3 linked regions of the Macaca fascicularis genome follow. The protein of the gene in region 1 binds, or shares a complex with, the protein of each later gene. Links are inferred from orthologs where the notes say so. Each region holds a gene or a part of one and is shown in the gene's direction. Other genes may lie near its edges. The genes, in order: MAD2L1, MAD2L1BP and MAD1L1.

Region 1 (9,579 bases):
ATTTATACACACACAGAGATGAAAGGATTTAAGGAAAATTTACTGGGTCAAGTCAGCCTGCAACCTATCACACCCATCCCTTACTCTTCAAACTGATCAAAACATGATATACAACACTGTACAGGCAGAACTCTAAGCCAGTTCCCCACATTCCTGGCCCCTAGAGAGCACACCTACATAATCCCCTCCCCGGAGTCTGGGTAGGAAAACTACAAATATGAGCAGATATCACTTCTGGGACTAGGTTCATCAAAAGGGAGATGTGACTGGGTCTGACTTAATCAGGTGAGCCTTTAAAAGGGGCTGGGGTCTCCCCGAAATCACAGAGATGGGAAGTGTGAGAAGGCTTGTGGAAGGGCTAGCTGACAAACATAGCTGGCCTCTGGCCAACAGCTGGCGAGACAAAATGGACCTCAGTCCAACAACCCCAAGGAAATTCTGCCAGAGGGCTTAGAAGGACCCCAAACCTCAGATGAGATCCCACTTGCAGACCCTTCGATTTCAACCTTGTGTGACTGAGCAAAGCAGTCAACAATGCCACGTCCAGACTTCTGACCTACAGGACTGAGAAAACGAATAGGTGTTGTTTTGAAGTCACTGATGTGTGGTAATTCGTTATGCAGCAAACGGAAAACTAACAACACTCAAGTATTTCTCTTATAATGTCTGGCAGATATGAGAGTTTTTCAGGCGTCGTTTTACAAATATCTTCCTAGCTGCTTTAAGAATAAACTTCTTTCAAAATGGACATGAACATTAATTGTGCAATATGTCCTTAATAATTCTCACCCTTTTCAATGAAAAGTCATTGAGTTTGGTGAGTCAAGATTCATTGAAAAATTCTTCAATGTTGATGGGCCTCTTTGGTGAGGTGACCTTATTCCTGTCCTGCCCCCTAAGGGTGGGCAGGGTGGACAGAACGCAGCCTGGACTTCCGGATGCAGCCCCCTACCGCCCGACTTGCCTACCCCGCTGGCCTCGGAGGGGTGGCCCTAAGCCCAGGACAGACGTGGACAAAGGGCAGAAAAAAGGATGCAGTTCTCTTTAATCCCTAACCCAATTTCTCGGGAAAAGCCGCGCTCCCACACAGAAGGCGAACCCTCTAAAGCTGTGGGTTGGCTGCTGTGCACGTAGTCGCTTTAGGAATTCCCAAAGCATCTAGCGGAAGTTTAGATCTTTCACTAGGGGTCACATGGGCCAGTACGGGCGCAGCTGGCAAACCGTTCCTTTCAGTTTGAAAGTATCTTGAAACTCGGAAACTGTGCTCCTTGGTCTTTCAGTTCATAAGCCTAGAGAGCGGCTACTGAAATTGGAATCGACATCTTCTTCCCTCGGCCCCAACTAGTAAACCACGACCAGAAGACACAGCCTAACCTAAACCTACCGGAGTGTCACAACCGGCAAGCGCGAGCAGGTCCACCAACTCCGCCTGCGCAAACCGGCCGTTCCCGCGAGATCGCAGGAAGGCGGAGAGAAAGGGCAGGGCCCCGCCGCGTGGGGCGGGGCTTAGAGGCTCGTCGCGCCTGCGCAGAGGACCGGACAACGCGCTGCGTCGTTACTTTTGAAACGCTTGGCGGGGAAGTGCTGTGGGAGCCGCTGTGGTTGCTGTCCGCCGAGTGCAAGTGCGTGCCTTTGTTTGTGTCCCTGGCCATGGCGCTGCAGCTCTCCCGGGAGCAGGGAATCACCCTGCGCGGGAGCGCTGAAATCGTGGCCGAGTTCTTCTGTAAGTCCTCGCGCCGGCCATTATATTGGGGGGAACTGAGTCGTGGCGGCTCAGTAGGCCCACAGCTCGGCCTCTGAGACCGGAGAAGTAATCTGGGAGCGGCGGCTGCAGGCTGTTCCTCCTGACGCGTTGCTATAACGTGGAGCTGCAAGCCTGCGTGCTGCTGGGGCCTACCTCGCGGCGTAGCCTCTTCCGGAGCGTTTCTTCCTTTAAGTGCAGATCCGTCCCACCTCCCACCCCTTACTTTCCGATACAGGACACAGCGTGACTGGGGTGGGTCCCAGTGTGGGTGTGTATGTGTGTGTTTTTTTTAACTGCGAGAGCACCCTCACCCTCCCACTCTAAGTGATTATTAGGCATGAGGCTGGCGGTAAACAAGATTTTGGGAACCCTTGTTCTCGAACAGGCCAGCTGCACGTTGTAAAGGAACCTGGCAGGATTTGGGAGGGAAAGGGGAAGATACAGGCTTGTCTGGAGCAAAGTGACTATTCAGTCAGTTGCTGACTCGAATGCAACAGCCTATTTTGACATCCTCTAGCCTCATAATCTGAATTTGGACTTGGATTACAATGAGGTGAAATTTGGCAATAGTAGGTTGATACACTTTGGCTTTTTTTTTCCTTGGCACGTGAAAACAATTATCTTTTTTTACTTAGATACAAGACTTTTAAGGATTTTTAATGCCACTTTGTACCTACTCTGCTTTCAGCAAGATACACGTGTGTTCAGTCATTTATAGCTGTATAGCCTAATGAAAATATAGCCACATCCAAATATATTTTATTTTCCAGAGTTATGCAGTGATAATGAATTTTCTGTAACATTTCTTTTGCTTGCAGCATTCGGCATCAACAGCATTTTATATCAGCGTGGCATATATCCATCTGAAACTTTTACTCGAGTGCAGAAATACGGACTCACCTTGCTTGTAACTACTGATCTTGAGCTCATAAAATACCTAAATAATGTGGTGGAACAACTAAAAGGTATTTAATCATTGGAAGTAATTTGAGTCTTGCAGATTTTTTAGCATCTCAAGTGGTCATTTTTCCGCTCTGCAAATAGAAGTGTACTCACATCTCAAATATATTTTAAGTTGAGAGGAAGCAAATAATATATAAAATGGAAGAAATTCACTCTTCCCCCACTACATTGTGAGTGGGCTGAATATTTTGATGTAAGAAATCTGATATGGCTGAAAAATAGTCTTCATCAACTCCCTTAGAAGTGGCTTTCGCAGTTAATGTGGCCAAATGGAACAGGTTGGAATTTTACATAATTATAACGGTGTTCACTATCTGAGAAAATATACACTACATATTCTCAATATAATGTATTTTCTGTAACTAATTAGTTTTCTGTAGTCTAATGTTATCATTAGATTAATATCAAGGAAATTGGATTCAACCAGATAAACTTCAAAAAAAGAAAAAGATTAGCTGCTAAATGACAGAACACTCACAGTTTTTTTGTTTGTTTGTTTTGTTTTTCACATATTTCTGTTTGTCGTTTTCAAAAATTCTGCCGGTGATTCAGTAAGCCTTTTCTGTCTGAACGTTCGTTTTTCTTTAGTTCGAGAAATTGCTGTATTACCTGTCGGGTGAATACTTGTTCTTCATCTATTTCTTTTTCCTTTCTAGAATTCCTGTTAGTTTCTCTTTCATGTTACCCTCCACTTAGGATTCTCATTTCTAATTTTTCAAATGTTTCTCCCATTTGATCTTCTAAAATTTTTGAAAGTACTACAGTGGGCATCTTTTTTTTTTTTTTTTTTTTTTTAGAAATTATTTCTTTTGTTGTTGACCAGAAATGTGTCTTTGTTTTGCCATTTTTATTGCATTTTTACTAACCTATTTTTAATATGCCCTTCCGATAATGGCCATGTGAACTTTTTTAGCTTGATAACTCTCTTTCAACCTATACTATCCTCTAGATAAACTGTTAACATTGCCTTGCCTTTTATGTGTACAGGAGTGGAATGCCTCAACAACCTGTGGATGTTACGTCTTAAATTGACAGGCAAGGGAAGATAGCCCTGTTGACATTTTGGCCTGGATATTTCTTTGGTGTGGGTGCTTTTCTGTGTGTTATAGAATGTTTACCAACATCTATGGCCTTTACTAACCAAATGCCAGTAACAAACCACCTTGCTCTGACAACCAAAAGTGTCTCCATAAATTATATTGCCAGATGTGCCCAAGGGGACAAAATTGCCCTTAGTTGAGAACTGCTGCTGTAGTAGATTGGTATTGTCAAAATAGCAAGATGAGACCTCTTTTGGTGTGGGAATAGACCTCTGTTCTCAAGTGTACACAGGAAAGACATTGATAGGAGTGTCCACCTCTCCCAGAGTTGCATCCAAAATTGGGGGTCAGGAATAAATCATCTGTAGTGATTCATAGGGCTGCACTCAGATCATTTGGCCTGGAACCTCTAGGCAACTATGGATGTGTGTTTCCATCTTAATTTGCTAGAGAAGCAAGCATTGCCTAAGCCAATGGTTTTTAGGTTGTCTTCTTTGAGACTGCATTGAAGCCAATGGTTTTTAGGTTGTCTCCTTTGAGACTGCATTGATGACACTTCACGTTATGTGTGTCTAGACCTTCCTATTTAACTTCTCCCTTTTATTTTAGTTAAAGTGGAAAAATTGCTCTTCCCTAGAGGCAAGTTGTTCTGTTTGTTTTTTGTTTGGAGTCTCACTCTGTCACCCAGACTGGAGTGCAGTGGCGTGATCTCCACTCACTGCAACCTCTGCCTCCCGAGTAGCTGAGATTATAGGCGCCTGCCACTATGCCCGGCTAATTTTTGTATTTTTACCAGAGACGTGGTTTCACCATTTTGGCCAGGCTAGTCTTGAACTCCTGACCTCGTGATTCACCCACCTCTGTCTCCCAAAGTGCTGGGATTACAGGCGTGAGCCACCACACCTAGCCAGTTGTTTTGTTTTGAATGTCATTTCCTCTAGCCTTTTTTAGGGTCTTGATCCTGTTCTCTGTTATATTTTCTGCTTCTGTGTTTTGATTTTAATTATCCCCATTGTTTTCATCTCTCCAGTTTTAAAGGAAGAACAAATTACCACCCAGTCTCCTCCTTTTCAGAGTGAAACTCATAAAAAGTTGTTGATAAATGCCAGGGATCACAAGGCCCACAGGCCGCATCCAACAGGTGGCCTGTTTTTGCACTGCCCACAAGCTAAGAATATTTTTACACTTCAGGTTTGTTTAAAAATAAGCAACAGAGACCTTGGTGGCCTATAAGCTTAAAATATTTACTAATTACTCTTTTTTGTAATTTTTCTTTACAAAGTTTCTTTACAAAAACTTCGCTGACTCCTGAATATGCTGTTTCAATTTCCAAGATTACTTCAAGGCTCAATCTGAGCCCCCGTTCTGTCTTTATAATTTCTCTATAGGTGATTTCTGACCTGTGTATAGCTTCACTAGCAACCTCTGTGTAGTCAACTCACAAACTTATATATCTATCCCAAAGCCTCTTTCTCCAGACTCATATATTCAGCAGCTATATCTTTATGTAGCTATCCCAGAGATAACATATACTCAAGCATACTAAAAATTAAATTTAGGATCATATCCAAAACTGATACTCTTTAATTTTCTCTCTGTCAGTGGCTAAACCGTCCAAACAGAAATAAAAGAAACTTGGAAGCTGTCCCTGAATCATGCTTCTTCCTTACTACCATGACTAAACCCAATAAATTTTAACCATGAAATCTCTTACATTTACCTACTGCTTCGTCTCTACCAGTTTATCCTCCTACAAGCTTTCATTAACTCTTGCTCGAATTACTGATGGACCAACTAGTGTCTCTAGATCCCCTCTTTAACATCTCCAGTCTACTTTCCATATCACAGCTAGAATGATAGTTTTGAAATACAAGACTAATTGCTTTACATCCTGCTTCACACACAGTAATGACTTCACTGGTCTTGAAGTGCATATTTTTTAAATTTGATCCACCAGGCTTTGCGTGGTCTGGCTTCTATTAATCTTGCAAGGATTGTATTGTTTTATTTTGTTTGTTTGTTTGTTTCTTGATTGCACTTGTAGTGAGCTGCTTCCAGTCTTCTAGTTATATGCTCTTCCCTTGTGAGTATTTGAGGCCTGTATCTTCTTTCCTATCCTTTTGCATATTTAATGCTGTTTATCCCTAGAGCTAAACTCAAACCTTTTCTGACCTCCGTAAGTGGCTCAAATTTTCCTTCTTTTATGCTCTCATTGCATCTTACATCTCTCTTTCATAGCAGCCATTACAATGATAATTTGTCATTTATTGGTGTGATGAGTAGATGAATGCCCATCTCCTATGCTTTTATCTTGGATTAGGATGAAAGTACCATATGTTCAGTATTCTGTCCTCAGCACCAATTACTGTACCTGGTACAGATACTGAGAATTTGAAAACAGAAGTTAGAGTATTGATGGTGCAAATTTTCTTGCACGTAGGAGGAAGTCCAAGATAGCAGTGGTAGGAATTTGCTGAGGATAGGGAGTAGGACCTGAGAAGAGAGCTACTTTATGATGCAGTGGACCAAGAAAGATGCCTTCATTTTTATGTGTTGCAGATTGGTTATACAAGTGTTCAGTTCAGAAACTGGTTGTAGTTATCTCAAATATTGAAAGTGGTGAGGTCCTGGAAAGATGGCAGTTTGATATTGAGTGTGACAAGACTGCAAAAGATGACAGGTAAGTAGGAATTACATTATTTCTACTTTGATATATTTTTTCAAAACTTGTTTTTATTACCAATTGAGTTCTAATTATATTGAACTAGTTTTATATAAAATATAGTTTGTTTCTAATTTATATTTTCTAAGATATCCTCAGTCACCTGTGGAAAAGAATTGTCGGTTTAACATATCATTGATTTGTATATATATAATTGCCTTTAGTCTAAATCAGCAATTTTCAAACAGTATTTATGGTGGTATATACAAAACTACACATGATATACTAGATGAACCATTTAATGAATTGTTCTAAGATGTTTTTAACTATAAGGAATTATATTAGATTCACACAATTTATGATGTAGCTCTGCTGTACTTCCTTTAATGCCATCTACTTCCTAAGACACTTGATAAATTTCTGAAAGTTCCAGACTCCCTGGAAGAGAAGTGTCTGTCTTTATACTCTAATGTTTAGCATTGTCCTAGGCATGCTTTTCTATAAACTGGGAACCATTTCTTACAGTGAAATGTAGTTTGCTTCTGAAGGCTTTGGTTTATTTTAGGAAATTTTTAGCTTATAAAATAATTTGATACACAATTTAATGTTTTATTTGAGAAAATAGGAATTTAGACATTTAGGCATTACTAAAAGTGCCAAAATGATTATACCAATTAAATATTTTAGATAGCATTTGTTATTTTATTTCAAGAGATGCTGAAGTTTCCTGAACTTGAAATGATTGGCAGATTTTCTAGTCATCTGATACTAAATGACCTGACACTAAGACCAGCTCTAAAAGATGCCTGGCAGGATAAATGAAGTAATGAGGATGTATGTTGTGCCTACTAGGTTATAGGTCCAAAGGATACTTTCATTCACAGTTTTTACAAACCTCCTTTTTAAAGCACTGCTTATTTGATGTTGAGAGCATTTAATCAAATAAATAATCTTACCACTATGTTTGAAATAACTTAAAACCTAAAATGAATTAATTGATTGGGTGCACTGTTGATTTTTTTTTTTTTTTTTTTTTTTGACAGTGCACCCAGAGAAAAGTCTCAGAAAGCTATCCAGGATGAAATCCGTTCAGTGATCAGACAGATAACAGCTACGGTGACATTTCTGCCACTGTTGGAAGTTTCCTGTAAGTATACAACTTCTTGTTGGATTAAATTGATTGGCAAAAAGACTAAGCTACTGCCTTAATCACCCCTTTATTCAATTTTGTCTTGTCAGATTTATGTAATATAAATTGAAGAAAAAACATTATAAAGGAAAATTAATGTATCATAGTCTCCCTTTCCACAAGGAGACCCACAGTGACTACCTGAAACCATGGATAGTATGAACCCTGTATGATGTTTTTCTTATGCATACATACCTGTGATACAATTTAATATGTAAATTAAGCATCGTAAGAGTTAATAAACTGGAACAATTATAACAATATGCTGGCATCACTATTCTTGTGCTTTGGGACCATTATTTTTATTTATTTATTTATTTATTTATTTTGAGACGGAGTCTCACTCTGTCGCCCAGGCTGGAGTGCAGTAGCGCGATCTCGGCTCACTGCAAGCTCTGCCTCCCAGGTTCACACTATTCTCCCGCCTCAGCATCCCCAGTAGCTGGGACTACAGGCACCCGCCACCATGCCCAGCTAATTTTTTGTATTTTTAGTAGAGACGGGGTTTCACCATGATAACCAGGATGGTCTCGATCTCCTCCTGACCTAGTGATTCGCCCACCTTGGGCTCCCAAAGTGCTGGGATTACAGGCGTGAGCCACCGCACCCACCCTTGGGACCATTATTAAATAAGATAAGGGTTACTTGAACACAATCACTAAATTGCACAGAAATTAGATACAATATTTTCTTTATTAAGATAAATGTTCATTGAGCAAAATAAATTAGTGATTAGAGGCCAAGCCAAATGACCTTTTCCAGCAGTGAGTTGTTCAAAATAGAAGAGAGGCAACAAGATTAGTTTTACTTTTAGAAAGTAATGTACTTTAATGATCTTATCCCCAATTTAGGTTCATTTGATCTGCTGATTTATACAGACAAAGATTTGGTTGTACCTGAAAAATGGGAAGAGTCGGGACCACAGTTTATTACCAATTCTGAGGAAGTCCGCCTTCGTTCATTTACTACTACAATCCACAAAGTAAATAGCATGGTGGCCTACAAAATTCCTGTCAATGACTGAGGATGACGTGAGGAAAATAATGTAATTGTAATTTTGAAATTTGGTTTTCCTGAAATCAAATCATCTACAGTTAATATGTTTTATTTCATTGGTTAATTTTTACATGGAGAAAACCAAAATGATACTTACTGAACTGTGTGTAATTGTTCCTTTTATTTTTTGGTGCCTATTTGACTTACCATGGAGTTAACATCATGAATTTATTGCACACTGTTCAAAAGGAACCAGGAATTTTTTTTGTCAACGTTGTGATGTATATTCTTTGAAGATAGTAACTGTAGATGGAAAAACTTGTGCTATAAAGCTAAATGCTTTCCTAAATCAGATGTTTTGGTCAAGTAGCTTGACTCAGTATAGGTAGGGAGATATTTAAGTATAAAATACAGCAAAGGAAGTCTAAATATTCAGAATCTTTGCTAAGGTCCTGAAAGTAACTAATAATCTATAAACATGAAATATTGCTGTATTAGCTCCTTTTGACCTTCATTTCATGTATAGTTTTCCCTAATGAATCAGTTTCCAAATTTGACTTTAATTTATGTAACTTGAACTTATGAAACAATGGATATTTGTACTCTTTAATGTTCTGTGATACAGAACTCTTAAAAATGTTTTTGTGTGTGTGTGTTTTATAAAATCAAGTTTTAAGTGAAAGTGAGGAAATAAAGTTAAGTTTGTTTTAAATTTGTCTTAAAAATTTTGATACTGGTTTGGTGTTGATATAGTTAAATGGTAATTAGAATTGATTCAGCATAACTATTGAATTCTTGTTCCTATGAAGTTATAGAACTTAAAGATACAAAGTTGAGTGAGTCTTGAGGTGTCTTCAATCTAATGGATAAACTTTGATCACATCCTGTTGATCTCATAGCAATAGACAAAGCTATTACTTCATCATTGTGAAAGGATAAATGTCCTTTGGAATTAGTCCAACAATTCCAGTTGAACAAATGTTGA
Region 2 (9,539 bases), on another chromosome or scaffold:
AGGTGCATGCCACCATGCCCAGCTAATTTTTGTATTTTTAGTAGAGACAGGATTTCACCATGTTGGCCAGGCTGGTCTCAAACTCCTGACCTTGTGATCCACCTGCCTTGGCCTCCCAAAGTGCTGGTATTACAGGTGTGAGCAGCCACGCCCGGCCTCTTGTCAGTCTATTTCTATTCCTCCTCCTCCTTGTAAATCAATCACCAAGTTATGTTCACTGGACCTCCTAAATATATCGAGTTACCCAATTATCTCCACCCCACTGTGACTACCCTAGCAGTTTAGGCTGCTTTCATCAAGTACTCAGGTAATTGCACTACCTCTAACTGGTATCCCTGCCTCCTCTCTTATCCTCTCTGTAATCCAATCTCTACCCTGCAGCCAGGGTAGAGATTATAAGATGTAAATTTAATCATGCCACTCTCCTACTTAAACCTTTCAAAGCTTCCCCATCTGACTACAGGATCAAGTCCAAACTCTCACATGGCTTACACAGTCCTGCCATGATCTGGCTCCTGTTGTTCACTACAGCCTTAACTCTTTATAATATGAACTCTTTTCATTCCTTGAACAGAGTATGCTCTTGTCTCAAGGTCTCCTGGAGCACTGGGCCCTCCTCTTTACCTTGCTGACTTATCCTACAGGTCACAGCTTCACACATTTCTTCTGGGACCACTCCTTCCCAGCCCCTACCCTCTCTGGGTCAGGCACCCTTGTTTTTCACTTCCACACCCCGTGTAAACCCTTCTGTATAATTCATCACATTGTATCGTATCTACAGGCAGTGAACCCCTTGAGTACAGGGTCCGCGCCTGGCTTGTTCTCCGCTGAGTCTCCAGCACCTAGGACAGGGCCTGGCACGAAGTAGGTGCACAGTGAGTAGTGAATGCTGGAGTGAATGGATGCGTGAGGGTTGGTGTCTTTTGGAAAGCAGCGCTCATTGGCTGAGAACGCCTGGGTTCTTGCTGGGCAAGGGTTAGGCGTATATTTGCCAGGGTGTTAAGGAAGGAACGGAGGGATCAAATCCCAACTCCACTTAGCCTCCCCAACACTGCCGTGGCGCCGCGCCTTTTTTCCGGCCCAACTGAACCGGAAGTGGAGGCGCGGGCTTCCCATGATGCCCCGCGGGACCTTTATTCTAACCGCAAGGAGTAAGGGGAGGAGGTCGTGATGGCGGCGCCGGAGGCGGAGGTTCTGTCCCCAGCCTCAGTCCCTGGTAAGGCGTGGGGCCCAGAGTTTGGGAAGCCTTAGGGACCCGTTTCTTCCCTACCTCCGCGCCCTCCATTTATCCCTTGGTCCTCTCCCTAGCCCATCTTCCCTGTCTTCCGGGTGTCCTACAAGGCTCTAGCTGTGACTCCATCGCCGTGGGTCGCACTGGACCCTGCTTGACTACACTTTTGACTCATTTCCCCAGATCAAGTCCCGCTGCTTTCTGAGCGGGGAGCCCTAGTTACTACCTCCGAAATACCCCCACTATCTTTCAGTCAATTAAATCTCCTCAGGCAACAGGGATCAGGAATCTCTCCCTGCCACGGCCCACACTGTAGGCTGCGGAGGGTATGGGCGTATGTCGGAGTGCCTGCTTTCTCAGGGTGGCTGGTTTGGTGGCCACAGGGAATGAGAAGACTGACTTTGGCTTTTAGGTTTTAAATTTTTCTCTCTTGTCCCTCTTTTCATCTACCAGATTTGGAGTGGTATGAGAAGTCAGAAGAAACTCACGCCTCCCAGATAGAACTGCTTGAGACAAGCTCTACCCAGGAACCTCTCAACCCTTCGGAGCCCTTTTGCCCAAGAGACTGCATAGTACCAGTGGTGTTTCCTGGGCCTGTAAGCCAGGAAGGCTGCTGTCAGTTTACTTGTGAACTTCTAAAGCATATCATGTACCAACGCCAGCAACTCCCTCTGCCCTATGAACAGCTTAAGAACTTTTACCGAAAACCTTCTCCCCAGGTAGGCACAGGCTTTGGGAGCAAGTTGGTGGGAAGACTTTGTGGCTCTTAGATGGGAGGCAGGTAGAAAGGGGGTCTAAGAAATCTTCAGAGCCTGAGAGACTAAGCAGCTTCCAGGGCTTCAGTCACTTTCTCCCCATTCTAGTCTTTGGTAGCCTAACCCTTCTGGCTTTTTCTCCTGTTCTTTCTTTCTGAAACTCGTGTTGCATTTGGTCTTAATGAACTGGCTCTTCGCATTTTTTTCTTTTGAGACAGAGTCTCGCTCTGTTGCCCAGGCTGGAGTGCAGTGGTGAGATCTTGGCTCACTGCAATCTCCCCCTCCTGGGTTCAAGGGATTCTCCTGCCTCAGCCTCCTGAGTTGCTAGGATTACAGGCTCCCGCCACCACACCCAGCTAATTTTTGTATTTTATGTTTTGAGACAGAGTCTTGCTCTGTTGCCCAGGCTGGAATGCAATGGCGTGATCTCTGCTCACTGCAACCTCTGCCTCCCAGGTTCAAGCGATTCTTGTGCCTCAGCCTCCCCAGTAGCTAAGAGCACGTGCCACCATGCCCGGTTTATTTTTGTATTTTTGGTACAGATGGAGTTTCACCATGTTGGCCAGGCTAGTCTCGAACTCCTGACCTCAAGTGATCTGCCCGCCTTGGCCTCTCCCAAAATGCTGGGATTACAGGCGTGAAATACTGCGCCCGGCCTGCATGTTTCTTTTTAATAGCATCCTGTTGTTGAATTTCTGTATGAACTTTTTTTTGCTTTGTTTTTTTTTTTTTTTTTGAGATGGAGTCTCACTTTGTCACCCAGGCTGGAGGAGAGTGGCACTATCGCAGATCACTGCAACCTCAGTCTCCCAGGTTCAAGTGATTCTCCTGCCTCAGCCTCCCAAGTAGCTGGGATTACAGGCATGCACCACCACACCTGGCTAATTTTGTTTGTTTGTTTGTTTTTGATAGGGAGTTTCATTCTTGTCACCCAGGCTGGAGTGCAGTGGCGCCATCTCGGCTCACTGCAACCTCTGTCTCCCAGGTTCAGGCGCTTCTCCTGTCTCAGCCTCCTAAGTAGCTGGGATTATAGGCATGCGCCGCCATGTCCAAATAATTTTTGTATTTTTAGTATAGACAGGGTTTCACCATGTTGGCCAGGCTGGTCTCGAACTCCTGACCTCAGGTGATCTGCCTGCCTCAGCCTCCCAAAGTGCTGGGATTACAGGCATGAGCCACCATGCCCAGCCTGTTTGTTTTCTGAGACAGAGTCTCGCTCTGTTGCCCAGGCTGGAGTGCAGTGGAGCGATTTTGGCTCACTGCAACCTCCACCTTCTGGGTTCCAAGCGATTCTCCTGCCTCAGCCTCCCAAGTAGCTGGGATTACAGGTGTGTACCACCACACCCAGTTAAATTTTGTATTTTTAGTGGAGACGGGGTATCGCCATTTTGGCTAAGCTGCTCTCAAACTCCTGACCTCAAGTGATCTGCCCATCTTGGCCTCCCAAAGTGCTGGGATTACAGGTGTGAGCCACCACGCCTGGCTTACCCAGCTAATTTTTGTTTTTTTAGTAGAAACGGAGTTTCACCATGTTGGCCAGGCTGGTCCCAAACTCTTGACCTCAGGTGATCCACCTGCCTCAGTCTCCCGAAGTGGTGTTGGGATTACAGGTGTGAGCCACCGCACCAGGCCATGAACTTCTTTTGCCTGAGGATATTATTTAATTTTTGAAGTTTTTCTTTGTTCTTTGCGGCATCTCAGTTTCTTCTAGAATCCATTCTCCATTTGTTTTGTTCTGGTCTTTGACTTTCATGTTGGAGAATTTTATTGTGTCTGGTGAATATTTAAGAACAAATCACTGCAAGCTCTGTGTGCATGCCTGGGCCTTATGAGCTTATAGACTTCACTATAAGGAGATTAGGTGGCAACCTGGTGATCTCTTTGGGGGGATTCCTTAAACATAGTATTGGAAAGTCTTCCCTCTGGATGGGGGAGAAATTTGGCAGATGATCTAAGCATCTTGACACAGATTTTCATTCATTTCCCCTATATTCATTCTTGCCTCTGTGGTGCCTGTATCACCACTTCCTAAACCTTTCTGGGGTTCTGCTGTGTGTATCAGTTTGCATCCCTTGGGAGTCCCTTCTGTCAGCACTTGGTATTCAGCTCTCTTGAACTCTTAATTCTTCACCTTCTTTCTTTTCTTTTTTTTCTTTTTTTTTGAGACAGAGTCTTGCTCTGTCGCCCAGGCTGGAGTACAGTGGCGTAATCTCGGCTTACTGCAAGCTCCGACTCCCGGGTTCATGCTATTCTCCTGCCTCAGCCTCCCAAGTAGGTGGGACTACAGGCACCCGCCACCACGCTCAGCTAATTTTTTTTTTTTTTTTGAGACGGAGTCTCGCACTGTCGCCCAGGCTGGAGTGCAGTGGCGCCATCTCGGCTCACTGTAAGCTCCACCTCCTGGGTTCACGCCATTCTCCTGCCTCAGCCTCCCGAGTAGCTGGGACTAGAGGCGCCCGCCACCACGCCCGGCTAATTTTTTGTATTTTCAGTAGAGACGGGGTTTCACCGTGTTAGCCAGGATGGTCTCGATCTCCTGACTTTGTGATCTGCCTGTCTCGGCCTCCCAAAGTGCTGGGATTACAGGCATGAGCCACCGTGCCCGGCAAGGCTAATTTTGTGTGTTTTTAGTAGAGACAGGGTTTCACTGTGTTAGCCAGGATGGTCTTGATCTCCTGACCTCATGATCCACCTGCCTCGGCCTCTCAGTGCTGGGATTGTAGGCATGAGCCACTGCGCTCGGCCAACTCTTCATCCTCTTTCTGTCTTCCAAAACTTTGTGTTTGCATTTGACTAGTGTTGTGTAGTCTCCAGTTCTTTGCCCTTGGGAGTTTTCTTTCTCGGTCTTTCCTCTTCTTTCGTTCATTTGTTTCTTAATTTCTTTTCTCTCATTTTGTAGTATTTCAGGTGGAAGCGCAAATAAGCATTGTTCAGTTTACTATGTTTAAGTGGAAGAACAAGTTCAGAGTCATGTTTATTAGACCAAATAATCCTTATTCCTGTTATCACTCCCTGTATAGCAAAAATTTGTTGTCACTTTGTCATACTACCAAATCTCTATTTTAGTTGTTTATATCTGGATATTCTCCACCTTCAGAACACTGTGTTTGCTGTTCTATATGTGGGAGAATTATGGTTTTGTACAAATAATATATTTTCCTTTTCAGTATAATGCCCTCTGATAAAACACAGTGTTGTGGCTGTGGCGGTTCATTGAGCTAGAAATTCAGTCCTGTAAGTCTATGTACACATCCCAGCAGGGTTCTTTTCAAAGGGCATTAGCTTCCCCCTGCCTTGTTCTTCTCTCCCGCCATTCTTTGTCCTCACAGGCAGAGGAGATGCTGAAGAAGAAACCTCGGGCCACCACTGAGGTGAGCAGCAGGAAATGCCAACAAGCTGTGGCAGAACTGGAGAGTGTCCTCAGCCACCTGGAGGACTTCTTTGCACGGACACTAGTACCACGAGTGCTGATTCTCCTTGGGGGCAATTCCCTAAGCCCCAAGGAGTTCTATGAACTCGATTTGTCTCTGCTGGCCCCCTACAGCGTGGACCAGAGCCTGAGCACAGCAGCTTGTTTGCGCCGTCTCTTCCGAGCCATATTCATGGCTGATGCCTTTAGTGAGCTTCAGGCTCCTCCTCTCATGGGCACCATCATCATGGCACAGGGACACCGCGACTGTGGAGAAGATTGGTTTCAACCCAAGCTCAACTATCGAGTGCCCAGCCGGGGCCATAAACTGACTGTGACCCTGTCATGTGGCAGACCTTCCATCCGAACCACGGCTTGGGAAGACTACATTTGGTTCCAGGCACCAGTGACACTTAAAGGCTTCCGCGAGTGAATGAGTGCTTCTTAATTATAAAAACACAATGGCTGAATTATCTTTCTTCATGTGGCACTGAATTACCCATCTAGTTTGGAGCTAGAGTTTCTTCCTGGTGAGAGACGAAGCAACTCTCCTTCTGGTTGTCTGCCTCCCCTCCTCAGGTTTCCTGATGGGCTGATGGCATGTGGCGGTGACTGTAATCATTGCTGAACAACATCTCTTTGAATCAAAGGTTGATTTTCCCAGAGGGTGCTGGGTCAGGTATTTCTGTTAGGGGTTGTAAAGCAAAGATGGGTCCATAGACAGAAACTCCATGAAGGTGGCCCTTTCTGCTCCTTGCTGTGTCCTTTCAGAATTTTTCCCAGGAACATAATGTGGATGTGACTTATGAATTTAAATATAAAATAAATAGATTCTTATTATATTTTCCTGAAATTCTTTTGACTTAAAATAACTTGTCAGGTTTTAGGCTATTTTGTCTTTCTCCTTGGCCTCTTCTGCTTCAGGGCGTCTCAAAAATTTATTATATTTTTCTTTTTTGAGATGGAGTCTTGCTCTATCGCCCAGGCTGGAGTGCAGTGGCATAATCTTGGCTCACTGCAACTTCCGCCTCCCAGGTTCAAGGAATTCTCCTGCCTTAGCCTTCGAGTAGCTGAGATTGCAGGTGCCCACCACCACACCCAGATAATTTTTGTATTTTTAGCAGAGATGGGGTTTCACCATATTGGCCAGGCTGGTCTCAAACTCCTGACCTCAAGTGATCCACCTGCCTTGGCCTCCCAAAGTGCTGGGATTACAGGTGTGGGCCACTGTGCCCAGCCTTAGGATTTTTTAATAATGATTTTTTCTCTTCTTCAGCCCCAGGCTAATCTAGGAAGTTAAGTGACTTGGCCAAGTGCATATGTACTTTGATAACACAGTTAGGACTAGAGTCCTCATTAGCTATCTTTTAGCCAATGTGCTTTTCTTATCACATACAGATTTTTGTGATGCTTAAATTCTGTATCCCCCAAAGCAGAGGTCATCTTTATGTGGGAAGATTGTGGTAAAGAACTTAGCTTACCAGGCCACTGAATAAAAGCAGTGATTTTGGGAAATAGTCTGGCCTGGTGCTTGGTTTGTAGTAAACTGAGCAGGTATGCTGAGTAGCGAGAGGGGAGGAGCCACTGTGCCCGGCCAAACACCTCAATTTTTGGAAGCAAGTTGAAGACAGAATCCACACTTTGCTGGTGTTGGGGATAGGTATATGCATGTGTATGTATAATATATAAATGGTATATATAGGCTAGGTGAGTAACTCATGCCTGTAATCCCGGCACTTTGGGAGGCTGAGGTGGGCAGATCGCCTAAAGTCATGAGTTGGAGACCAGCCTGGCCAACATGGTGAAACCCTGTCTCTACTAAAAATACACACACACAAAAAGGCCAGGCACGGTAGCTCATCCCTGTAATCCCAGCACTTTGGGAGGCTGAGGTGGGTGGATCACAAGTTCAGGAGTTCAAGACCAGCCTGACCAATATGGTGAAACCCTGTCTCTACTAAATATACAAAAATTACCCGGGCTTGGTGGCGAGTGCCTGTAATCCCAGCTACTTAGGAAGGCTGAGGCAGAATAATTGCTTGAACCCAGGAGGCAGAGGTTGCAGCGAGCCGAGATCACGCCACTGCACTCCAGCCTGGGTAACAGAGTGAGACCCTGTCTCAAAAAAAGAAAAAAAATTAGCCAGGCGTGGTCGTGGGCACTTGTAATCCCAACTACTTGGGAGGCTGAGGCAGGAGAATCGCTTGAACCCAGGAGGTGGAGGTTACAGTGAGCTGAGATCATGCCACTGCACTCCAGCCTGGGTTACAGAGTGAAACACCGTCTCACACACACAAAAAAAGGTATATATATACTCACACGTATGTACATAGTATAAGATACATATATGTACTCCTAAAATACACTATTTTTTAAAAAGTATATGTACTATTTTAAGCACTTACATTATCTAACCCTAACAACTCTGCAGTGCATGAATTATTGTCCCCATTTTATAGATAGGGCCAGGGGAGATTGAGCAGTTTGCCTAAGTGGTGAAACTTGGATTCCCCTACAGTACTGCACATCCTATGTGGTTTTACTCTGAAATATTTAGCCAAGATTTGCCTTGCCAAAGGTATTAGCATCAGGAAGCTGTAAGATTTTCCTCTCTGGCTTCAGATTCTGGTGTCTGCCATGGAACCTGCAATAGGTGCTGAGTAAATATGGAATCAATGAAAGCAAAACGCCTGGGCTCTTTTCTTTTTTTTTTTTCTTTTTTTTTTTTTGAGACGGAGTCTCGCTGTGTCGCCCAGGCTGGAGTGCAGTGGCCGGATCTCAGCTCACTGCAAGCTCTGCCTCCCGGGTTTTTACGCCATTCTCCTGCCTCAGCCTCCCTAGTAGCCGGGACTACAGGCGCCCGCCACCTCGCCCAGCTAGTTTTTTGTATTTTTTAGTAGAGACGGGGTTTCACCGGGTTAGCCAGGATGGTCTCGATCTCCTGACCTCATGATCCGCCCGCTTCGGCCTCCCAAAGTGCTGGGATTACAGGCTTGAGCCACCGCGCCCGGCCGCCTGGGCTCTTTTCTGTGCTATGACCACTTGAAGCATATTCTACCAGCCAGAATTTTGACTTTTTCTGTCTACTGCTATTATAGAAGAGAGATTGAGCCATATCTCCTGCTCAGGGAAAGGAAAGGCTGAGGGGTCTGCCTAAAGGGAGTGGGGGTCGTTGTAAACCAGGGAGCCATAAATCGTTTTGAGATAACACATTAAGCCAAATCAACTCCCTCAAATACTAATTTTATTTATTTAGTTAGTTGTATTTTTTGAGACAGGCTCGCTCCGTTGCCCAGGCTGCAGTGCAGTAGCATGATCTTGGCTCACTGCAATCTTTGCCTCCCCGGTTCAAGCGATTCTCCTGCCCCAGCTTCCCGAGTAACTGGGATTACAGCTGTGCGCCACCATGCCTGGCTAAGTTTTGTATTTTCTTTTCTTTTTTTTTTTTTTTTTTGAGACGGAGTCTCGCTCTGTCACCCAGGCTGGAGTGCAGTGGCCGGATCTCAGCTCACTGCAAGCTCCGCCTCCCGGGTTTACGCCATTCTCCTGCCTCAGCCTCCCGAGTAGCTGGGACTACAGGCGCCCGCCACCTCGCCCGGCTAGTTTTTTTGTTTTTTTTTTTTTTTTAGTAGAGATGGGGTTTCACCGTGTTAACCAGGATGGTAGTTTTGTATTTTCAGTAGAGACGGGGTTTCACCATGTTGGTCAGGCTGATCTCATAACAATGCCTTCCTTCATAAGCAATGCCTAAGGCTGGGTGTGGTGGTTTATGCCTGTAATCCCAGTACTTTGGGAGGCTGAGGTGGGCGGATCACTTGAGCTCAGGAGTTCAACACCAGCCTGGCCAACATGGCAAAACGCCATCTCTACTAAAGATACAAAAAATATTGGGTGTGGTGGCACGCACCTGTAGTCCCGGCTACCTGGGGGGCTGAGGTAGGAAGATCACTTGAACCCAGGAGGTTGAGGCTACAGTGAGCTGACATCACACATCACTACACTCCCACCTGGGTGACAAAGTGAGACCCTGTCTCAATCCCCAAAAACCAACAATGCCCAGACAATCAAAAAAGTAATTATCTGGGTAATTTAGACATTTATTTATCAGCTGAGGCTCAGGTCATTCTGATTTCCTGAGTGCTCT
Region 3 (10,537 bases), on another chromosome or scaffold:
TATTGTTTTTCAGCTCAGCATTTATTGACTAAATAAGTGGATTTGTGTTGGAAATGTCAGTTCCTTTTCTCATTGCTGAGCTTATCACCGTGGAGTCCTCCTAGTAACTGATTTCAGTGGTTTCTGTTCCCCTAAGTGCTCCTCAGATGAAGCAGGAGAGTGGCTCAGCGTGCCTTGTAGGAAGAAGTGACAGAAGGAGACAGCGTGAGCGTGATCTGCCTGGGCTTGTCCTCCTGGAAGTCACAAGCATGCAGCCAAAGCTGTTTGCCTTCAGTGGAAATTTCCCAAGGTTGTAACATATTGGATATTATAGGAGCGAAAGCTCAGGAGCATAAAGTGAGGCATGAGGCCGGGCGCGGGGGCTCGCGCCTGTAACCCCAGCACTTTGGGAGACTGAGGTGGGAGGATCACCCGAGGTCAGGAGTTCGAGACCAGCCTGGGCAATGTGGTGAAACCCCGTCTCTACAAAAAATTAGCCAGGGGTGGTGGCATGTGCCTGTGGTCCCAGCTACTTAGGAGGCTGAGGTGGGAGGGGTCGCTTGAGCCTGGGGAAGTCGAGGCTGCAGTGAGCTGAGGCCATGCAGTGGAGTGAGACCCTGTCTCTCTCTGTCTCACACGCACACACACAAAAGGATAACTTGCTGATATTTGAGTAACACCAGTTGTAAAACTAAAAAGGTGCCATTGTGTCACCTTAACCTAAAACAAGACTTGTTTCCTATAACTGATGTCAGCGTCTGCCTCCCCCTCTTCTCACTCTGTACCTACATTCAAAGCCCCTCTCACAAGCCCAACACCCCCATCTCCCCAGCAGTCCCCTCCACTGAGGAGAGCCGTAGTTCTGTTGAGAAGTGTCAGAGTTGATAAGCTAAGGGTAGAGTCACAGATGTTCTTGTTCAGTCTGCTTAACAGAAAGGCTGTTCCAACGGTAGGGGGCGAGGAAGAGACCATGTTTCATTCCTAGTTTAAACATTGGAAGTCCAGGTATTTTGAAGATTACCTCATTTTTCAAAGGTAAAACCCCTCAATCTTCAGCCCAGGAAAATGGGACGCCTCACGCCTCATTTTTTTTTTTTTTTTTTTTTGAGACGGAGTCTCGCTCTGTCGCCCAGGCTGGAGTGCAGTGGCTAGATCTCAGCTCACTGCAAGCTCCGCCTCCCGGGTTCACGCCATTCTCCTGCCTCAGCCTCTTCTGAGCTGGGACTACAGGCGCCCGCCACCTCGCCCGGCTAGTTTTTTGTATTTTTTAGTAGAGATGGGGTTTCACCGTGTTAGCCAGGATGGTCTTGATCTCCTGACCTCGTGATCCGCCCGCCTCGGCCTCCCAAAGTGCTGGGATTACAGGCTTGAGCCACCGCGCCCAGCCTCATGCCTCATTTTAGCTGGGTGTCCTGAGTAGCTGAGACTACAGCTAATTTTTATATTTTTTTGTAGAGACAGGATCTTGCTATGTTGCCCAGGCTGGACTAGAACTCCTGGGCTCTAGCAGTTCTTCTCAGCCTCCCAAAGTGCTGAGATTTTAGGTGTGAGCCACCGCACCTAGCTGGTATCAGTTTTTGTACATTATTTTGTATGTGTTCATTTTCCTCATCTCTTGACTTATTTCCAGTAGTTTTTACATTGGAAGCAATTGGATTAAGGTGGAGAAGGAGAATGGATTTATTGATTTAATCCAGAGGCACTTTATGCACTAGTATATTATTTTCTTTTTCTTTTTCTTTTTTTTTTTGAGATGGAGTCTCGCTCTGTCGCTGAGGCTGGAGTGTAGTGCTCTTGAGATGAAGCAAGAGCATGCCTTGTAGGAGAAGGTGACAGAAGGAGAGAGCGTGAACGTGATCTTGGCTCACTGCAACCTCCGCTTCCTGGGTTCAAGAGATTCTCCTGTCTCAGCCTCCCGACTAGCTGGGATTACAGGCATGTGCCACCACACCTGCCTGAGTTTTGTAGTTTTAGTGGAGACAGCATTTCCCCATGTTGGCCAGGCTGGTCTCGAACTCCTGACCTCAGGTGATCCATCTGTGTCAGCCTCCCAGAGTGCTGGGATTATAGTTGTGAGCCACTGCGACCGGCCTATTTTCTATTTTAGTTTATCAAAAGAGCACTCAGAGATAAGAACCCTTTCACAGAGAGTGAGCCTTGGGTAGTGAAATGATACCAGATTTGGAATCAGAAGTCCTGGCGCTTGGCACAGGTCTGCCCATGGCTGAGGATGACTCTAGGACAGTTACTTCCTGTATGGGCCTCAGCTTCTCAGATGTTAAGGCCCACGACTTCCCCCACCACGTGTCTTTATAGGATGTATAGATAGAAAAGGCCTGTGTTTACCTATTTGCACATTAGCTCTTTGCATTGGTCTTGACATTTTACTTTTATTTCATCATTTTGTTGCATGTACTATATTTTTGTGAAAACATTCAGGGTGTAAATAAATAACACATTCACCATTTCTTCCATAGATCCCAGCTCTCCTGTTGGCTTCGTGCTTGGGGTAGATCTTCTTCACATATTCCCCCTGGAAGGAGCAACTTTTCTGTGCCCTGCTGATGTGACTGACCCGAGAACCTCACAGAGAATCCTCGAGGTGCTTCCTGGTGGGAGAGCAGATGTGATTCTGAGCGACATGGCGCCCAATGCCACAGGGTTCCGGGACCTCGATCATGACAGGCTCATCAGCCTGTGCCTGACCCTTCTCAGCATGACCCCAGACATCCTGCAACCTCGGGGAACATTCCTTTGTAAAACCTGGGCTGGAAGTCAAAGCCATCGGTTACAGAGGAGACTGACAGAGGAATTCCAGAATGTAAGGATCATCAAACCTGAAGCCAGCAGAAAAGAGTCATCAGAAGTGTACTTCTTGGCCACACAGTACCAGGGAAGGAAGGGCGCTGTGAAGCAGTGAGGATTTCTTGTGCCATTTTCATAATGGTCATTAGCTTCTTTTAAGCTCGAAACGTAGCCTGAGCTCCTTCCGGAAGAGTTCCTGGGAGATCTGAGCTGATTTTGGAGATGGAACAGGACAAGTGGGGAGTCTCTTTCTTTTTTTTTTTTTTGAAACGGAGTCTCGCTCTGTCTCCCAGGCTGGAGTGCAGTGGCGCGATCTCCACTCACTGCAAGCTCCGCCTCCCAGGTTCACGCCATTCTCCTGCCTCAGCCTCCCGTGTGGCTGGGACTACAGGCGCCTGCCACCGCGCCCGGCTAATTTTTGTATTTTTAGTATTTGGGGTTTCACCGTGTTAGTCAGGATGGTCTCGATCTCCTGACCTCGTGATCCGCCCATCTCGGCCTCCCAAAGTGCTGGGATTACAGGCGTGAGCCAGCGCGCCCGGCTGGGAGTCTCTTTCTTTCTCTCTCTCTTTTTAACCAAAAAGAGATGACAAAACTAAGTTCAGGGGCCATGGAAAATGAAAAAGTCCTCTATATTGATTTGTGAGGAGAAAGTTATCAAGAGAAAGAGGTGAGGATGGAAGGATGAAGAGAGACAGACTGTGGGAAGAATCAGAAGGAATCCGCTGAGGCAGGGATGGGTGTGCCCATGTGTGCCTTGACGGGACTTCATCTTACAGACTGTTAAACTGTCACACAGAAACAGGCTTTCCACTGCTCCTCCCAGAGCACCATGCACAGGTTTCCAGTTCTTAGTGTGGCTATTTAAAGTAGAAAATCTGGGGGCTGGGTGAGGCCACTCACACCTATAATCCCAGAAGGCTGAGGCTGGGGGATTCTTGAAGTCAGAAGTTCAAGACCAACCTGGGCAACATAGCAACACCCACTGTCTCTACAAAAATGAAAAAACAAAAAACCAAACCAAAAGAAAAATCTGAAATTTCCATCTGGGGATTAAATTCTTTCTTTCTGGTGAGTAATCTAGAGATTCATGCATTCTTCAAGCAGCAGAAGTTCCCAGAGCGATTAGGGAAGACGTATGGTCTGAATTTACTCATGCACTGGGTGTGCTTTGGTTTTCGCTGGAAATTTGTATCTGTGTCTGGACTCCCAAGAACATAAAGGTAATTGCCAAAGCAAGCAGTGATGTGGTGTGTTTATTTTCTTTTACTCTTCTAGGAACTCGATGCAGCTTTATATTTATTTATTTATTTATTTATTTATTTATTTATTTATTTAGAGACGGAGTCTCGCTCTGCCACCCAGGCTGGAGTGCAGTGGCCGGATCTCAGCTCACTGCAAGCTCCGCCTCCCGGGTTCACGCCATTCTCCTGCCTCAGCCTCCCGAGTAGCTGGGACTACAGGCGCCTGCCACCTCGCCCGGCTAGTTTTTTGTAGTTTTTAGTAGAGACGGGGTTTCACAGTGTCAGCCAGGATGGTCTCGATCTCCTGACCTCGTGATCCGCCCGTCTCGGCCTCCCAAAGTGCTGGGATTACAGGCGTGAGCCACCGCGCCCGGCCGCAGCTTTGTATTTAATAAAATAGAAGTTGCATTATTGTAAGGGACTTTCATGCTTTTAAGTTTTGTTTTTTTAAAACTGGCTTCCTCAAAGCCATTTCCTGGAGGTGTACTCATCCCTCAAGAAGTGTGTTGACTGTAACTATGATTCAATTCCAAGCACCAGTGCGGTAAGTCTGGAAACCCAGGAATCGCCATCAGGGATCTGGGGCTTGGTCCAGCTCCCCAAAGGAAACTGCAGGTCAGATGTTTTGACTTGTTTTTTTTTTGAAACGGAGTCTCGCTCTGTCGCCCAGGCTGGAGTGCCTTGAAACGGCTCACTGTAAGCTCCACCTCCCGGGGTTCACGCCATTCTGCCTCAGTCTCCTGAGTACATGGGACTACAGGCACCCACCACCAAGCCCGGCTAATTTTTTTTTTTTTGTATTTTTAGTAGAGACGGGGTTTCACCGTGTTAGTCAAGGTCTTGATCTCCTGACCTCGTGATCCACCCGCCTCGGCCTGCCAAAGTGCTGGGATTACAGGCGTGAGGCACGGCGCCCGGCCGCCAGATGTTTTGGCCTTTCATTTTATTTCTGGTTGCAGTCAGGTAGTTAAGTCCAGGGACTCTCTTGCCCTACTCCACCTCGTTCTCATTCCCTTTCATTTCCGGGGCACACAACTTGGAAGTCTTTTTCTCTGGAAGAAGAAAAATTCAATGTAGACCCTTAGGAACAGCATCTTCTTAGAGGGAAGCCAGGGACTGGGCAGAGGTGGGAAGAAGAGAGGAGGCACACTCTTCTCAGGAAGGCTCCAAATTGAAGGATAGACGAAGGTTACCGTAATAATAGTGGGGCCTGACCTCACCCCGTTGGATTTTGTGCCTTGGCTTGCAGAGCATTAGGAGGTAGCCTAGTAGCATAAATTGCATTTCTAGTGGGCCCAGATAAAAGCAAAATAACGGATTGATTCAAGCTGATACTGAGTAGCAAAATTTTGGGAAGAGTCAACAATGCAAGTTTGTTGCAGGAGGCTGCTATGGGCGCGGCTATTCCACACATTACGGCGCGAGGCGAAAGCCTTAGTGGAAGCGCGTCCTGCGCGGGGTCGGGGACCCCGACTGCGCCTTGGCCCGGCCTTCGGTTCCGAGTCCTTTCCGTGTGTAGTCTCCCGGGGGTGGCGGCTCTGGGTGCGGGCACGGAGGCCCCAGGACCAGCTGGTGCGAAGACTCGGTTCTTTACGGCCCGGTTCCCACCCAGGTCTCGCGAGAGCGCAGGCGCAAGTGTCGCGATAAGTGGGCGCGGGCGGAGCGGAGGGAGATCCGAGCGGCGGCGGCAAGTGGGCTGCGGGAGACTGAGGTGAGCGGCCCGGCCTTCGCGGGCGGCGGGGTTCTGGGGTCCTGGGGCCCCGGGGGTGGCAAGGGCGGGGCCGAGGGCCCGGACCGGGTGTGCCCGCCAGGGTGGGGCACAAGGACCCTGGACCCCGTGCCTCAGGACCGCGCGCCCGCCCCGCCTCCCATGGGCGCGCTCCCCTCTCTGTGCTCTCCCCTCCTCTCTCCTCCTCTTCCCACTCCCCTGTCCCCACTCCGCTGTCCCCACGCCCCACTTCGGGCTGTGCTGGGTACAGCGGGCCCCTCGCCTGGGTTTCCGCAGCCGTCCCTTGTGCCAGGGCGGGCGGCCGAGGGGCGCGTGCTCGTGGCCCCAGCCCCGGGGTCCGGGTGCCCCCCGTGGGGGTCCCCGTGCCCGCCGTGGGGGTCTCCGGGCTAGGGTGCCGGCGCGCCGAGGAAGGGGCCTGAGCTGGCGCCTGGTGGAGAAGTCGGGGCTGCAGGGGCTCTTGGCATCCTCGTGGCTCGCGCGGGCCCGCTCTCAGGAAGGGGGCGTGTGGGCCCGGTTTCCCCTCGGGGATGGCAGGGGTCGCCCTGGTCTCTTCTGGGCAATGGAGGAATTGGGCTGTGGAGCCTCCCTGCAGGCGGGCCTGCCTCTGCGGGGCTCGCAGCCTGGGGAGCTCAGGGCTCTGCTTGCAGCAGGCCGAGGTTCTTGTTCAATGGAAACTCAGAAACTGTGCAGCTGCAGGAGTTCTACCTTTGGTTGTTAAACGCGCTTGGCTGTTCCCCTTGTTAGGGCTGGTGGGCCGGCCTGCCGTGAGACCATCGTCAGCGCAGGTGTTAGGGGTGCAAAGTTCTTTGCTGCTGCTTGTCTTCAGCCTTCCAACGCCAGACAGACCCAAGTTCCCAATCTCCGTTCTGTAACTTTTTGAAGCTTCAGTTTCATCATCTCTAGAATCTGTGTAAAAAGACCTGATTCACCACCCTGTTAAGATTGAGCTTACAAATGTAGTGCTGGTCAACCTGCGGCTGCATTCCCATTATCTAGCAGTGGAAGACTTGAGGGATATTGACCCCATTCCCCACAACTTTGCAAGTAGATTTCACTGTCATGAGTTGACAGATGAGGAAGCTGAAGTTCAAGAAGTCTCCGTGCTCGGAAATGTCAGATACCTTTCTTTCCAGTACCTAGTTGAAAATAGTAGTAGTACTTATTAATGTCACTAGAAATAAACAATGAAAATTAGCACAGCTGTGATGATCATCTTTACTGTCACTGTTGCATGCCTCATTTCTGATTCCCAGAGGCCAGACTTTTTAAAAAATTAATTATTATTATTTTTTGAAACGGTGTCTTGCTCTGTTGTCCAGGCTGGAGTGCAGTGGTGCGATCTCAGCTCACTGCATGCAACCTCTGCCTCCTAGGTTCAAGCAATTCTCCTGTCCCAGCCTCCGGAGTAGCTGGGATTACAGGTGCATACCATATCCGGCTTTAATAGAGACAGGGTTTCACCATGTTGGCCAGGCTGGTCTCGAACTCCTGACCTCAGGTCATCTGCCCGTCTTGGCCTTGCAAAGTGCTGGGATTACAGGCATGAGCCACAGTGCCTGGCCTTAATTAATTAATTAATATTTATTTATTTTGAGGCACAGTCTTACTCTGTTACCCAATCTGGAGTGCAGTAGTGCGGTCTCAGCTCACTGCAACTTCCACCTCCCAGGTTCAAGCGTTTCTTGTGCCACAGCCTCCTGAATAGCTGGGATTACAGGCGCGCACCACCACACCCGGCTAGTGTTTGTATTTTATTAGAGATGGGATTTTGCCATGTTGGCCAATCTGGTCTTGAACTCCTGACCTCAAGTGATCTGCCTGCCTCCACCTCCCAAAGTGCTGGGATTACAGGCGTGAGCCATCCCACCTGGGCAGGAGGCCAGACTTTTTTGTGAGTGCTCCTGGTAGTTAGTTTCAGGCATCAGCTGACTGGATTCAGGAATTTCTAGAAACCTGGGAAAGCATCATTTTTGTTTCTGGGTGTGCCTGTGAGGGTGTTTCCAGAGGTGATGAGCTTGGGAGTCTGAGTGGACCAGGTGCTGAAGATCCACCCCCCAGTGTTGGGGGCACCATCCAAGAGCCTGGGGCCTGGAGAGGACAAAAACAGAAAAGACGAATGTGTCCATCTGCCTGCGGGAGCTGGGATACACCCTTCTTCTCCTCTCCTCAACAGCAGCACTCCAAGCTCACCGGCCTTTGGTCTCCAGGACTCGTTCCAGCAGTTCCTCGAACTGAGAATTACACCATCGGCCCCCCTGGCTCTGAGGCCTTCAGACTTGGACTGTGTCACACTGCCAGGCTTCTAGGGCTCCAGCTTACAGACGGCCTGTTGTGGGACAGTCTCCCTAATCGTGTGAGTCCGTTTCCCTAATAATGCCCCTCTCGTGTGTCTGTCTCTGTCCTGTTGGCTCTGTCTCTCTGGAGAACCCTCTTACAGTGCTGTGGGAGGACGTGCCACCTGAGTGCTGAGCTCCGCCTCTTGGGCGCCAGCTGTCTGTGTGCAGCTGAGACTCAGTCGGTGGCTCAGTGGCGGGGATTTGGTGGCATGCTTTCTTGCTTCCATTTTTTGTCTGGTAAATTGGCAGCATGGCTCCCAGTTGCCTTTGAAGAATGTGGTTACAGACACTGGTGTATTATGGGCTCCAATGAGCGTTAGGGGAGTGGGGATGTCCAGAGGCCCCGCTGACTGCACAGCTGATGGCACGTAGAAAGGCTGGCCCTGACCAGTCCTTTGTCTGTTCCCAGAAGGAAAGCAACCATGGAAGACCTGGGGGAAAACACCACGGTTTTATCCACCCTGAGATCTTTGAACAACTTCATCTCTCAGCGGGTGGAGGGAGGATCTGGACTGGATATTTCCACCTCGGCCCCAGGTTCTCTGCAGATGCAGTACCAGCAGAGCATGCAGGTGAGTGGCATGTGCCTGGGTGGGAGTCTTCTCTGGGGAGACCCCTGGGCCCAGGCAGGGCCTGTTCAAGTGTTCTGTAGTTGAGGTGGGTCAGTATTAGCTCAGCCTAGAGACCAGCTGCTCATCTTCCAGGCCTCACTGTGGCCACTTCTCGTTTTGGGGCAGTAGCTGGAGGCTAGTTGGGGCCCTGAGCCATCCTGGCTCGAAGGCCTGCCTTGTTAGCACCCTGAGTGGGCCTGGCGCTCAGCATTGCATTCACACAAGTGCACCCACAGACCCTGGTGACAGGATCGGAAAGCCAGTTCGTTCATCTAATTGAGGACAGAACCCAAACTGCCTGGGAGTGTGAGCAGCAGGACCGTCGGGCAGGCTGTGTCGGAAACACAGTGCGGGAGTGCCCGGCAGCCCAGAGACAAAGCCACAGCCGTGAGCAGAAGGACGGGATGTTTTGTGGTCTCAGGCTGTAGAGGGCCATTTTCAGATTTTGGGGTGATTTTTACGGATTTCTTCTATAAAATAGTTGTATTTGGTTTCGTTACTAGTTCTTGGGGGATTGCTCACTGTAGACACAACTGCAGAGGACTCAGGTCTCCTGAAGGACTTCAGGATCCAAAGAGTGATGGGCCCAGCCCCACGTGGGGCTGGGATAACGGGGCCCCCGAGTGGTGGGGAGTGGAGTGCTGGGGAGTGCTGGCAAGTAGTGTCTCCAGCCTTGCCTGGGCCCTGTGGCTGCACAGGCTCCTCTAGACCCCTCTGCCTGGACCCTCTTTCCCAGTCCCTGCTGCAGGCCCCAGAGCCATTCTGTAGTCCTGTGCCCATTAGAGGAGGCTCTGGCTTCCTGTGCTCTCAGAGCCCAGATGAGGCCCTGCTGCATTTGGTAAAGCTGTGTGTGTGTGCATTTGTTTTGTTGCATAATTGAATTAATATGTGTTTATTAGAATGCTAGCTTGTGGCTGGATGTGGTGGCTCACGCCTGTAATCCCAGCAGTTTGGGAGGCCGAGATGGGCGGATCACGAGGTCAGGAGATCGAGACCATCCTGGCTAACATGGTGAAACCCTGTCTCTACTAAAAATACAAAAAATTAACTGGGCGTGGCACCTGTAGTCCCAGCTGCTCGGGAGGCTGAGGCAGGAGAATGGTGTGAACCCGGGAGGCGGAGCTTACAGTGAGCCGAGATCGCGCCACTGCACTCCAGCCTGGGCGACAGAGCGAGACCCCGTCTCAAAAAAGAAAAAAAAAAAAGAATGCTGGCTGCTAGCTTGCTTACTGCCGTTTCTTCATGAGGACAGTTTTGTATTCTGAGATTAGGTCACGTGTATATGTGTGTGTATGTATATATGTGATATGTATATGTAAATGCTCTTTTATGAAATTATGAAGGTAATAGATGGTTGTTGTTTTTATCACTGGCAAAATTAGAAGTTGCCAACTCTGAACTGGTTGCGGCGGCTCACGCCTAGAATCCCAGCACTTTGGGAGCCTGAGGTGGGTGGTTCACTTGAGGTCAGGAATTTGAGACCAGCCTGACCAACTTGGTGAAACCCCATCTCTACTAAAAATACAAAAATTAGGCGGGTGCGTACACCTGTCATCTCACCTACTCGGGAGGCTGAGGCAGGAGAATCGCTTGAACCCAGGAGGCAGAGGTTGCAGTGAGCTGAGATCACGCCACTGCCCTCCAGCCTGGATGACAGAGTTGGCAACTCTGGTCTGAAATGCTGTAATTTCCTTGATGCAAATGTCTGGGACCTCTTGGCCTATCTGTCAAAGCTTTGGGATTCTAGTCTGTCTTGGACCTGAGAGGCCCCCAGTGCTCACTGTTAAGGGCCTTTCGGTGAGGGGATCAGTGATGGGGTGCGGTAGTCAGAGC

The links.
Region 2: the proteins of MAD2L1 (region 1) and MAD2L1BP are in contact, whole or in part, in a crystal structure (PDB 2QYF), measured with the Homo sapiens proteins. The link is inferred for Macaca fascicularis from reciprocal best matches to the Homo sapiens genes MAD2L1 and MAD2L1BP. Residues at the interface, in NP_002349.1 of Homo sapiens: Tyr33, Arg45, Thr52, Leu54, Lys122, Asp126, Glu127, Arg129, Ser130, Arg133, Gln134, Thr136, Ala137, Thr138, Thr140, Phe141, Leu142, Leu144, Glu179, Val181, Arg182, Leu183, Arg184, Tyr199, Asp205; in NP_055443.1 of Homo sapiens: Pro61, His79, Tyr82, Gln83, Gln85, Pro88, Leu89, Pro90, Gln93, His96, Ala185, Leu187, Arg188, Phe191, Arg192, Phe195, Asp198, Ala199, Phe200, Ser201, Glu202, Leu203, Gln204, Ala205.
Region 3: the proteins of MAD2L1 (region 1) and MAD1L1 are in contact, whole or in part, in a crystal structure (PDB 1GO4), measured with the Homo sapiens proteins. The link is inferred for Macaca fascicularis from reciprocal best matches to the Homo sapiens genes MAD2L1 and MAD1L1. Residues at the interface, in NP_002349.1 of Homo sapiens: Tyr38, Leu61, Tyr64, Asn67, Val68, Trp75, Gln82, Lys83, Ser89, Ile91, Glu92, Ser93, Gly94, Arg99, Gln101, Ser150, Phe151, Asp152, Leu153, Leu154, Ile155, Tyr156, Thr157, Asp158, Lys159, Asp160, Leu161, Val163, Lys166, Trp167; in NP_001013858.1 of Homo sapiens: Glu527, Arg528, Ala530, Leu531, Gln532, Gly533, Asp534, Tyr535, Gln537, Ser538, Arg539, Thr540, Lys541, Val542, Leu543, His544, Met545, Ser546, Leu547, Asn548, Pro549, Thr550, Ala553, Arg554, Leu557.

What each region holds. Positions count from the first base shown.
Region 1 is NC_088379.1:125,164,195-125,173,773, reverse strand, and holds MAD2L1 (mitotic spindle assembly checkpoint protein MAD2A), read left to right. Parts: upstream 1-1,521; 5' UTR 1,522-1,650; coding exon 1,651-1,723; intron 1,724-2,562; coding exon 2,563-2,709; intron 2,710-6,306; coding exon 6,307-6,427; intron 6,428-7,452; coding exon 7,453-7,556; intron 7,557-8,449; coding exon 8,450-8,622; 3' UTR 8,623-9,306; downstream 9,307-9,579. UniProt on the Homo sapiens protein: Component of the spindle-assembly checkpoint that prevents the onset of anaphase until all chromosomes are properly aligned at the metaphase plate.
Region 2 is NC_088378.1:127,880,714-127,890,252, reverse strand, and holds MAD2L1BP (MAD2L1-binding protein), read left to right. Parts: upstream 1-1,135; 5' UTR 1,136-1,170; coding exon 1,171-1,216; intron 1,217-1,684; coding exon 1,685-1,950; intron 1,951-5,153; exon of another isoform or gene 5,154-5,228; coding exon of another isoform or gene 5,229-5,315; coding exon 5,316-5,828; 3' UTR 5,829-6,237; downstream 6,238-9,539. UniProt on the Homo sapiens protein: May function to silence the spindle checkpoint and allow mitosis to proceed through anaphase by binding MAD2L1 after it has become dissociated from the MAD2L1-CDC20 complex.
Region 3 is NC_088377.1:35,704,168-35,714,704, reverse strand, and holds the start of MAD1L1 (mitotic spindle assembly checkpoint protein MAD1), read left to right. Parts: upstream 1-5,665; 5' UTR 5,666-5,739; intron 5,740-7,930; exon of another isoform or gene 7,931-7,933; 5' UTR 7,934-8,110; intron 8,111-8,502; exon of another isoform or gene 8,503-8,505; 5' UTR 8,506-8,515; coding exon 8,516-8,665; intron 8,666-10,537. Other genes in the region: MRM2 (rRNA methyltransferase 2, mitochondrial), read left to right, coding at 2,457-2,899. UniProt on the Homo sapiens protein: Component of the spindle-assembly checkpoint that prevents the onset of anaphase until all chromosomes are properly aligned at the metaphase plate.